Caenorhabditis elegans: one gene and its partner. The protein of the gene in region 1 interacts with the protein of each later gene in a pairwise test. Each region holds a gene or a part of one and is shown on either strand. Other genes may lie near its edges.

The links.
Region 2: the proteins of set-6 (region 1) and prde-1 interact in a two-hybrid assay, tested with the Caenorhabditis elegans proteins (one large-scale study listed by BioGRID).

What each region holds. Positions count from the first base shown.
Region 1 is NC_003284.9:11,969,489-11,976,889, reverse strand, and holds set-6 (Histone-lysine N-methyltransferase set-6), read left to right. Parts: upstream 1-2,210; 5' UTR 2,211-2,213; coding exon 2,214-2,300; intron 2,301-2,382; coding exon 2,383-2,526; intron 2,527-2,624; coding exon 2,625-2,720; intron 2,721-3,295; coding exon 3,296-3,397; intron 3,398-3,511; coding exon 3,512-3,616; intron 3,617-3,761; coding exon 3,762-4,069; intron 4,070-4,116; coding exon 4,117-4,369; intron 4,370-4,899; coding exon 4,900-5,031; intron 5,032-5,083; coding exon 5,084-5,635; intron 5,636-6,169; coding exon 6,170-6,289; intron 6,290-6,355; coding exon 6,356-6,583; 3' UTR 6,584-6,860; downstream 6,861-7,401.
Region 2 is NC_003283.11:15,536,338-15,541,319, forward strand, and holds the start of prde-1 (piRNA biogenesis factor prde-1), read left to right. Parts: upstream 1-1,906; 5' UTR 1,907-1,920; coding exon 1,921-2,100; intron 2,101-2,170; coding exon 2,171-2,536; intron 2,537-3,529; coding exon 3,530-3,870; intron 3,871-4,982. Other genes in the region: F21A3.4 (Trichohyalin-like), read left to right, coding at 329-379, 434-664, 1,160-1,312, 1,365-1,649. UniProt on the Caenorhabditis elegans protein: Nuclear factor required for the production of piwi-interacting RNA (piRNA) precursors. Specifically required for piRNAs produced from loci associated with the Ruby motif. Promotes binding of the transcription factor snpc-4 at piRNA genomic clusters.

The DNA of each region.
Region 1 (7,401 bases):
ATAGGCAAAAATAGAGGGATTTTCCAAACTTTGAAAATTCATAAATCTCTTCAAAGTAACTTTTTTTGAAATGTCTTTCAGAAACTTTGTAGTAAATTTTAAGCTCTTTCAGAATATATTAACAATATTTCAGTAGGTACAAGAAGCTTCACGTAGTTACAGAAATAGTACATTTTCAGCCCTACCTTATAATGCGTATTTTATTATTTAATGAAAACTACCATTTAGAGGCAAAAATAGATGAATTTTCGTAATTTTGAAAATTCATAAATCTCTTCAAAGTAACTTTTTTCGAAATGTCTTTCAGAAACTTTGTAGTAAATTTTAAGCTCTTTCAGAATATATTAACAATATTTCAGTAGGTACAAGAAGCTTCACGTAGTTACAGAAATAGTACATTTTCAGCCCTACCTTATAATGCGTATTTTATTATTTAATTAAAACTACCATTTATAGGCAAAAATAGATGAATTTTCCAAACTTTGAAAATTCATAAATCTCTTCAAAGTAACTTTTTTCAAAATGTCTTTCAAAAACTCTGTAGTAAATTTTAAGCTCTTTCAGAATATATTAACAATATTTCAGTAGGTACAAGAAGCTTCACGTAGTTACAGAAATAGTACATTTTCAGCCCTACCTTATAATGCGTATTTTATTATTTAATAAAAACTACCATTAATAGGCAAAAATATATGGATTTTCGTAACTTTGAAAATTCATAAATCTCTTCAAAGTAACTTTTTTCGAAATGTCTTTCAGAAACTTTGTAGTAAATTTTAAGCTCTTTCAGAATATATTAACAATATTTCAGTAGGTACAAGAAGCTTCACGTAGTTACAGAAATAGTACATTTTCAGCCCTACCTTATAATGCGTATTTTATTATTTAATGAAAACTACCATTTAGAGGCAAAAATAGATGAATTTTCGTAATTTTCAAAATTCATAAATCTCTTCAAAGTAACTTTTTTTGAAATGTCTTTCAGAAACTTTGTAGTAAATTTTAAGCTCTTTCAGAATATATTAACAATATTCCAGTAGGTACAAGAAGCTTCACGTAGTTACAGAAATAGTACATTTTCAGCTTTACCTTTTAGTGCGTATTTTATTAGTTAATGAAAACTACCATTAATAGGCAAAAATAGATGGATTTTCCAAACTTTGAAAATTCATAAATCTCTTCAAAGTAACTTTTTTCGAAATGTCTTTTAGAAACTTTGTAGTAAATTTTAAGCTCTTTTAGAATATACCAACAATATTCCAGTAGGTACAAGAAGCTTCACGTAGTTACAGAAATAGTACATTTTCAGCTTTACCTTTTAGTGCGTATTTTATTAGTTAATGAAAACTACCATTTATAGGCAAAAATAGATGAATTTTTATTAAATAATAAAATACGCTCTAAAAGGTAGGGCTGAAAATGTACTATTTCTGTAACTACGTGAAGCTTCTTGTAACTACTGAAATATTGTTAATATATTCTGAAAGAGCTTAAAATTTACTACAAAGTTTCTGAAAGACATTTCAAAAAAAGTTACTTTGAAGAGATTTATGAATTTTCAAAATTACAAAAATTCATCTATTTTTGCCTATTAATGGTAGTTTTTATTAAATAATAAAATACGCTCTAAAAGGTAGGGCTGAAAATGTACTATTTCTGTAACTACGTGAAGCTTCTTGTACCTACTGGAATATTGTTGGTATATTCTAAAATTATTCAGCTATATCGTATCGTATTCAGCTATATCGTATCGTATTTAGCTATATCGTTTGTCTTTTGTGCCTTCATTCTTTTAAAGACATAACATTTTACTAATAGGCTTTTTTTTCTAAATTTTGATACTGCTCATACGAATACAATTGAAGATTTTAATATTGTCTTCGCTCCTCTCACATTTGTCAGTCAATTGAACTGGTTAGAATGCACTCTCTAAATCTCTCTTCCCCAATTCCAGTCTCTCTTCTCTCTCAAACTGCTTTAGTATCTGCGTCTGTTAGTACGTCTGCTCTCTATTTGTTCCGCTTTTTCACTGGACAAGATTATTGATTTTTTCAAAACGCGAGTTAACTTGTCATATTGTTAGTTCTTTTTTTCGAAAGTTTTCAATAATTGAATCTTATTTTTTCTTTGTACTATAGTAATAATCGTAATTTTTTATTCATCGACATGAAATTCATTTTCCACAACTTTAATTAGTTTACTGCTTATAGAAAATGGAACGATCTCGAACTGGAGGTTCATCAACATATTCAATGTCAACAGCAAATGTTCCAATAATAACAATAAGTGACGACGACGATGTAAGTGCCATTTTTGTAGATGGAAGTTTGTTTGAAATAGAAACGTTTCCTAGATTTCATTTTCACGATAACTTATCTTCAGGAACTGACCATTTGGGAAGAACCACGGAAAAGCCCCATCTCATCAAATAGTTATTCAGATGAAAGAAATCACTCCCTATCTAGCACATCAAATAGCTCTGTTGAACGGTCTATTATAATTACAATTAGTGATGATGAATCTGAAGTAAGTTTTCAATGTTTTTGACTTCTCAACAAACAAAAAGATATATATTCTGAATAGTTGCAAATTTATAGTTCCGCCTAATCACAGTCATTTTACAGGCTACGGAAAGAAACCAGCAGGAAGTTGTTGATCGAGCGATTTCAAATAATTTGACGGAAAAGCGTAGAAGATCAGTTGAATCTTTTCATAGATTAGTAGGTTGTTTTTATTTTTGAAACGAGATTCTTCAAATATAACAATTTCAACGGTAATATCTACTAGCCTAATTTTAACAAAAAATGTATTCTCTGCACAGTACTGAAAAAAAGTATGAAATTGAAATGTGCAGCTTGCTACTAATTTTTAAATAAGTATAACGTCAAATGCTCATTGAAGCAGTCTGGCGACTTTCAGCTCCAAATTTATTGAACTCTGGAAAAATGATTCGAACGTGAATAGTCACTAGAGCAAATTACTCAGAAGTGACAACGGCCTGGAATGCAGATTAACTGGATTGCTCACTTCTATAACTAAAAACTACTTTCAAATTGTATTTGTTTAATGACAATGTTCACTTTTCATGCTAGAAACTAGAAATTTTTAAAAAAAGTTTTGAATGTGAAAATACAGAAAAAATACGGTTTTCATCCATTGGCCATTATCAAAATTGTTCTTGAACTGTTTGACTCCCTGATATGTTCATATTTTAATCGTACGTGATGAGAATTTGTTTGTATATCAAACAATTGCTACAAAAAAAACATAATTTTCACAATAATACTAATTCCAGCATTCGAAAGAAAGAAAACTGGAAGTTAAGTCTCGAAAAAAGAGTAGGACCTCATCGAGCTCAATGGAAGCATCCACATCATGTACATTTCCAGCACGCCAAGTGGGTTTTACATATTTTATTGCCACCGAATTCCGTTAGTTCAAATTCGCTAAGAACATTTACAGAGAGATTTAGAGAGACCCCTCCTTGTGCAACAAAATGTTTTTTTTTCAGACAAAAACAAAACGTCATAAAAGGAAAACATACAGCACAATATCTTCGTTTGCTCCTCATCACAGTACTATATGTGCAGAACTACGAAACGTCAACCCAGCGAGGGTAATCATATTTACAGATTTTAAAAATTTGAAAACCGAATTGAATAAAACTGTTGTATTTACAATAACTGAAAAACAGTGCTCAACTGTATCATTCAAAATTATCTACTTATTGACAATGTTCTAGCTGAAAATTGTATTTTCAGATTGCGGACTTTCGTCACCCATCTATTTTTGAGTACTCCGACATGAGCTTGAATGAAAGAAGAGAACACTGGAAAAAAGAAATGAAAGTAATAAAGAAACACAACGACATCCGTCTAATGCACGAAGAAGCTGTTAGGTTCGACGACATTATAGAGCTAGACCCAACGTTGAATGGATATTACCGAAGATTCATGGGAGCCGAGCAAAGCACGAGAGCTCTGTTTATGGCTGTTCGATGTCTGGCCACCTTTGGCCGTAATTTCTATGAAGAACCTGAACGTGATCATGGGGAAGAAGAAATACCTGAGTGAGGAATTTTTATGTAGACTTATATGTTATAAAGCTTAATTTCAGAGAGCTCGACCGTTACTTTGAAAAGTTGATATATGTGGCGCCTAGAACACGGATTCGTATTACGGATGATATTCACTTGTCAAATGATACCCACAGAATTCCAGTTTACACAGATGCAAAAGGCGAAACACTAAAAACAGTCAAAATTCCAAACCCCCTTCTTTATGATCACATTATCAACAATATGGTGGACAAAGTTAAAGAGCCGTTGCTATATGAAGCAATCAAAATTGCAGGATCGTCAGAAAATGTGGTATGATGTTTTTCGATTCGAATTTATAAAACAACTGGCAAGTTGAAAAATTAAAATTGTAATTCGATAGTTTTTGCAACGACAGGCTTTGGCAATAGAAAAACATTCTTGAACAGTTGTGATGAGCGACCTAAGAAAAAACGTGTAGAATAAGTAGTAGTAGAGAACGTCAAGTTGGAGAACAAGTAAAAACCATTTTTATGGCTCTAAAATCATCAAATATCACAATTGTAAAATTTTGAACTTAATTTGGAAAACGTTTTGATTTTTTTCAAAATCCGAGAATAAAACGGTAAAAACTGAGTTTTCATCAACTTTATGTTTAAAAAAAATGTTTTTCTTCCAGTTTCTAGTAGTAGTTTTATGTTTGAATTATGTTTAAAATATTTTTAATTCAAAATTGTAAGGGGTTGAAACTGTTAGAATATTAAAAAACACTCTAAGAGAAGGAATTATATATGATTTAAAAATAAAAGTAAATGACAATGCAATATTTCATTTAGTAAAAGTATATCAGCTTTTTTATTCAGATTCGTTGTAAATGTTGTTCCCAAGATCCAGTCGTCAACTGTTTTGATAACAAAGATTGCCCGTGTTTTATTGCAAATCAGTTTTTGCAATCTAGAAACAAAACAACGGATACAAATGAAAAGTTGAAATTTGTAAGTATATTTCTCAGTTTTAATAATTATTTTGCAAATTGTCTATTTTCAGCATACTTTTCAACCCCTTATGTACAACGATGGAAATCCGACTTACTACAATACTGTTGGGTTTGCATGTTCACCAAAATGTGCTTGTAAAGGAGCTTGCACTAATAATGCAACGTACTTGATTCAAAAGAAACTGTACTCTATTGAAATTTATCGTGCAGATCCTCAAATTGGATTTGGAATTCGATCTACTCTGTTCATTCCAGCAGGGACTCCAATTATTGAATACTGCGGAGAACTAGTTGATGGAGAACGGCTGCATAGTTCATTGGAAAATTATAGTTACCAGTTAACTGACTGTGAAGGAGACAAACACCTTTACAACCTGCTTCGTGAAAAGTACAAAAACAATCCAGAATACTATGATGTACTGGACGAATTGAGCAAGCATCATTTTCACTTGGACGCCAAAATGCAAGGAAGTGTTGGCAGATTTGCAAATCATTCATGTACTCCGAATATGGAACCTCTTCGACTTTTCAAAGAAGGATTTACACCCGCCAATATGCGAATGATTTTTTTCACTCTGAAGGACATTTTTCCAGGAGAACCTGTAAGGAAATTTTTATATTTTTAAAATAAAGCAGCCATAGATGGGCCTGCCTGAAAAAGTGTCAATTCTGTTCCGGGTACAACATTTTAGTTACATTAAACTGAAAAAGTTCAGAATATATGGTACATTTTGCATGCAAATCTCATTTCCAATTTGTCCAATCGAGAGTCTAATAGAGGTTGCATATCATATTTTTTGATCAGTAAGACTTGTACAGTTTTGTATGTGATTTGAAAGACAAAAAATCACCTTAAATTACTCCCATTACACATTATTTCTTGAGAATCAACTGGATAAATATTGAAAAATCAACGAACAACTAAAAAATATACTTTTAAAATATTTCTGAAGAACATTTTATTTTTTCGATACACCACTTAGAGAGCAAGTCTAATAGGGACGCATTACTCAGAAGGAAAATACGGTAATCCTAAAAATTTGTGTTTTTCATAGTTTTTAATTTTTCATTGCAAATTATGAAGTCCATTTGTCTGAAAATGTTATATACATAACCATTTAAATTACTAATTTCAGCTTACTCTGGATTATGGCTCAGAATACAAGGTGTTTCGAAGGCAAAGATGTCTTTGTAGAACATTTGCCTGTAGAAGTGGGCCGCATTATGAGAAGTTTTCAAATTTGGATGGGAAATTGGTTAGTCAATGGTGTACACACATGAAGTATCACCAAATTTGCATATATGAATTGGATTGTTTGCAGATTGCATCATGTTTTGTTAGACTTCATCACGCATCCCGCATTCGATATTCGGTGGACTTACAGCTAATAGAAAGATTTTATTCTGTTGGAAAAGTTGAGGAGGTTCGGGTTGATCCATGTGTATCTTTTTCAAAATATAACCTGAAATGGAGGCGACAATTGTCTACAGCGACTTGTGAACGTTTGGAAAACGTTATTGAAATTGAACTGTCCGACGAAGATTCATAACTGCCATAAAATATGATCTAAATTTTAATATTTATGTAATAATTGTATCAAATTTGCTCTATTAAGCATGCACTTCATTGCTGAACTTTGGAATTTAATATTATCAGTTAATACAGTTTTACATATACAGTTTTAAAATAGTGCACTACGAATAGAGCAAACCAGATGTGTGACAAATATTATTTAGTTATGTTGATGTATTTATAGTCATTATGAATTTATTTAATGTGCATTTATATAATACATCGAATAGAAAAAAGTTTTGAATGAAATTGTGTGAATTCTAAAGCTTGTAAACGTTTGGAGACAGTATTACAATAATAAGTGGCAATAGTGAAGCGCCAGGCAATAGTGAAGCGCCAGACTGTACGTTTGGCTAAAATGTCATGTTTCAAATTTCCTCACCTGAGCATTTTTGTCGTTGCCGGTTTATTCATCCAAACGGTTAACATTTTGTACAGAAAAGCAAAAAAACATGAGTCTTCAGGTGTAACAGAGAGCATAATATGATCTTATCGATGGGAAAGTGAACTATGTCTGTGTTAAAATTGAAAGAAGAAAATATTGCATTTGTCACGTAGCCATCGAGTTATTTTAGACGTGATAGATTAAGAAACAAAGTGAATGCATTCATAAAGTTCGGATTCTCGCTCTGAAATAAAGAGTAAATTTATTATTTGCATTTTTCAAATTAAAATCAAAGGATTTTAAATATTCGATGTTTTGTTCTAATCATGAACAATAGTAAGAAGAAAAAACGTGAATTTATCATTTAATACTGATAATCTCACCTGTTGATGATCATTCTGGATTGCGAG
Region 2 (4,982 bases), on another chromosome or scaffold:
CTTAAAATGAGCCAACTCAAGAACGAAGTCAATGACGTGGTACTAATGTCGGTTTATTTTGTCGAATTTTTTTCGGATGAGAGGCATGACTCATAGGAGCAGAGCCAGAATTTTTCCAAAAAAAAACTTCTCCTCGGGGAGTACACGGATCAGAGAGCTTGAAAATCAAGTTTTATACTTTTATTAAATCAATTAATTACCAGCGTGAACATTCAAAATTTTGATTTTAAAATATTCCATAGAATTCAAATTTCTCGTGGCAAATGTGGAACCTATTCGACATTTGAATTTATTTCCGAATATTTTTCTCCGAAAAATCAATCGATAAATGGATATCAAAGTGATTCGCGAGAAGTTGACCCTGACAACGTCGATTACGGTGGGTTCCGCGCGAAATTTCTATTCGGAAAAAGTTCAAGTGATTTTTTTTCAGAGCGAATCGGTCGCCGAATACGAGCACGATGTCGACGAATGTTGTCGCCTTCTGGAGCACAAGCTCGAGCTGGAAATGGAGAAGAAGCTGCAACTGAGCAATCGGATCGATGTCGTTCAGTCGCAGGTCACCGAACTTTGGGATCGCGTGGATAAGGCGAGACGTCGCGAATCGGACATCTCGTGTCGCGTCACCGCCTGGGCTCAGCATTTGTCGGAGATGATGAATGAGGTATTACATAGTCGTCAAAAAATTATGTGGGTCTCACCACGCTGTGAACGAGGTACTGTAACTCGTGTCGATTTACGGGCACTAACCTATAAAAAGAACCACTAAATTTTGAGAATGGGTATTGCGCAACGTATCTGACGCGCAAAATATCCCGTAGCGAAAACTACAGTAATTCGTTAAATGACTACTGTAGCGCTGGTCCGATTCTGAAAATCAAAAAAAACTTCCGAATTTTCCGAGAAATGTTTCCGAAAATAAAAAAAAGCCCGTAAATCGACATCCGTGCTACAGTAGTCATTTAAAGAATTACTGTAGTTTTCGCTACGAGATACTTTGCCCGTCAGATATGTTGCATAATACGCATTCTCAGCATTTAGTGTTTTTGTAATAGCGACCCGTGAATTATCACAATGAAAAGTAACCTTTTGTCCGCGTGACGAGACCATGCGCGTAAGATATGGCGAAAACTAATATTATATGCAATTTTTTGTTCAGGTGAAGCTGAAAAAGGCTAAGATGGGCACAACGATGGAAATATCCGCGACACTTTCTGCTGAAATTCAAGAAAGTCTGGATTTACTCGCGGAAAAGCGAGTGATTGTTCAGAGAATGCGGGAGGAAATCGACTATCGTCGCCACTTGCACAAGGTTTTTATTAATAAATCTGAAAATGTTTAAAGCAATATTGAAACATTTTCAGCAACAACTCAAAGATTTGAAGCTGGATTGTGACAGAGAGGAGGAGAAATGCGAATATTGGAATGATAAAAGCGCTGAAATCGAAAAAGTTGTGGAAATGCTCAAAGAGCAACGCAAATCGCTTGGCGAACGTGTTGAAGAGGAGAAACGAATGGAGCAGGAGCAGAAGAAGATGCTGGAAGAGCTTGAAATGTTGTTGAAGAAAACTGGGAAGAAACGGCAGATTTTAGATGAAAACGCCAATTTGGTGGCTTCTTTCTCCAGTTTGACCGAGGAAAGCTCTTAATTTTTATGTTTTTTTCTTCAAAAGCATTTTTTTTGTGTGTTTTTTCCTCAAAATAAATCATTTTTAATTGTTTTAAAACATGTTTTTGAAATTAATCGTCAATAACGAAAGTTGCGTCAGCTACCACTGCTAGCGCGTTTCTCGTGTTGCTTGCGCTTTTCTCGATGGCAGCGAATTTTAAATTTAAATATTTAAATTTTCGTTTTTCCTGCCTAAATTTACTTGTTTTTCACCATTTTTCTTGTGAGTTTATCAACTTTTCAGGTAAAAAATGAACAGAAATCGCAAAGGACACGATTTAGAAAACATTGAGCATCGATTCACCGATGAGGACTTGGCAGGTCTGAAGGAGCAAAAGCTTTTTAATGGTAAATGGATTATTTTGGAGAAAAAGGAGAAACGAGGAGCCGCGTATTGTTATCTTGTGTGTGACAAGCCGTGCAAGAAATTTGTGAGTTATTAAAAAAAATTAAATTTAAAAAAAAAAAAAGTAAAAAAAAAATTATTATTCGAATTTTCAGGGGATTCTTTACTTGGAAATCGGCGAGGACAACGTGACAACCATCGCGAATCAAGTAGATTTCTATCATCAGCAATCGTCACTTGGCTATTCTCATCGATTTTCCGCTTTAATTGATGCCGGAATCATAAATAATCACGTCTTCTTCATGGTCGTCAGAATCCGTGCAGGACCCACTTTACATGATCTTTTAAAATGTCTGAGCAGTGATAAAATGTCCGTAACTACTGCCAGTTTCCTCGCTGTCGACATGATTTCTGCTATCGAAATTCTGTCAGCTTCCGGATGGGTTTTGAGAAATTTCGACTCGAAACAATGGATGTTGGATATCAAAACGAGGCAGTTTTATTTGGCCGATGCTACTGATGTACGGACTATGTTTCCGCTTTTAAAATAACAATTTCCACTAAAAAATTGCAAGAAAAATCGCGATTTTCAGCAACTTTTCACCTAGAAAACGCATTTTTTCGGAATTACACGAAAAAACCAATTTTCTTAAAAATTCACCTAAAAAATCTCGATTTCCAGCATTTTTTCACCTGAAAAGCGTATTTTCTTGGAATTGTACAAAAATCGCCGATTTTTAGCAATGTTTTCACATAAAAAACTTAATTTTTTGGATTTATACAACAAGAAACCCCGATTTTCAGTAATTTTCCTGAAATTCGCCCGAAAAATCTAAATTTTCAGCAATTTTCACCGAAAAAGCGTATTTTCTTCGTATTATACAAAAATCTGTGATTTTTAGCAATGTTTTCACATAAAAAACGTATTTTCTCGGTAAATCCACAAAAAACCAATTTTCAGTTATTTTTCTTGAAATTTGCCCGAAAAATCTCAATTTCCAGCAATTTTTACCTAATGGGGTTATTCAAGTAGTGTCGGAAAATTAAAAAGTGTAGAAAAATTACGTCACAACCTTATTCAAGTAGATAAAAACATGTATTTAAATACATTTGTGACGTCACAAATGTATTTAAATACATTTTGCTACATTACTTGAATAACCCCATAAAAATTTGAAATTTTTGGGAAAAATGAATAAAAGTCCCAGAATCGTCTGAAAATCAACATTGTTGGTTTCAAAAACTCCGCAAAACAGCGAGTTTCTTTAGAAAAATTATTAAAAACATATACTTCGTCAAAAAAAAACAATTTCTACTGAAAAAAACTAAAAATCGCAATTTTCAGTCGAAATTCGAGTTTATTTTTTCGATTTTATTTTTTTATTAATCAAATTTTTGATTTCTTGGAAGAAATTTCGGTTTCAGACTCTTAAAATAAACAATTTATGCATTTAAAACCCCAGATTCTCGTTAAAAATCGATTTTTCTCATACTAAAATTCCAAAAATTTGCAGATCACCGTCTCCTCTGACAAACGTCACCGTGCCATCGACGAGATTCATCTCAGAACAGCCGAATCTATAGATTTGCATTGGAAAACCGGAGATTTGATCTACGCGCCGCGCTCTTTTGTCGATCGAGATCAATCTCATCGAATGACTGAATTGGATATGATGGAAATGATGCTCTATGTGCTCTACGATTGGACACATGGAAAATTGCCGTGGAAATCGTCGAAATCCAGAGAAAGAATTATGGAAATGAAGGAATTGTTCATTGAAAATTTGCAAAAAGAGCCGGAAGAAACGAATAAAGTCGAGCAGCAAATTGATGTTGATGTTTGGTTCGATATCGCGTATGGATTTTGGAAAATTTAGCAAAAAAATGAGATTTTCATGGAAATTCATCCAAAAAATCGGGATTTTCAGTGATTTTTCTTCCTTTAAGAATGATTTTTGCTAATTACATTTTTAAAAAATCACGATTTTTAGCTATTTTTCATTTAAAAAATCATTTTCTTGCTAATTATTCAAAAAATTCAAATTTTCAGTGATTTTTCACCAAAAAAAGTAGAAAAAAGTAGATTTCTTGCAATTTACACAAAAAATCTCGATTGATAGCAATTTTCACCTAAACACAAAACAAATAATTATCCCAAAAATCCAGAATTTTAGCATTTTTCCTAAATACTAAAAATCATTTTTCTTGCAATTTTTATAAAAAATCGTCTTCTAATTTTTTTCACTCAAAAAATAAAATATTTTCCTGAAATTATCCCGAAAAGCCCCGATTTTCAGCTATTTTTCATCGAAAAAAAATCTAATTTTTATGAAAATTCACCCAAAAAACCCCGATTTTCAGCGATTTTTCACAAAAAAAGAATACAATTTTCTTCAAAATAACCCGAAAGGTTTCAATTTTCAGCATTTTTTTATGGAAAAAAACTAATTCACCCTTTTTTTTTTCACGAAAAATCAATTTTTTTAGAAATTCACCCAAAAATCCAGATTTTCAGCATTTGTTCTTCTAAAAAATATTTTTCTTGCAATTTACATAAAAAATCACTTTTTTTAAAAGCAATTTTTCACTTAAAAAAATAAAAATTTATTGTAAACCAGCCGTGGACCGCACCTTCGGCGCAGCCCCCGACTTCTGGGGCTGAAAACTAATTTTTCTGAAACTACCGTAATCATACAGTACTCCTACCGTACCACTATTGTACCACTACAGTACCCCGACTATATCCCTACACTAAGCCCAACTCACTATCCTCCAGAAGCCAAAACGTCACAGAATACAAAGACTACATAGACTACAAACTATGGACAAACGGAATAAGCGCTTTATATATAGTAAATGATTACCTGAAATATTTAGATTTTAAGCAATTTTTCCGAAAAATTGAATTTTCCTGCAGCATTTTCCATTTTAGCAGTTTTTTTTTAACGGTAAAAATGTCAATTTTCA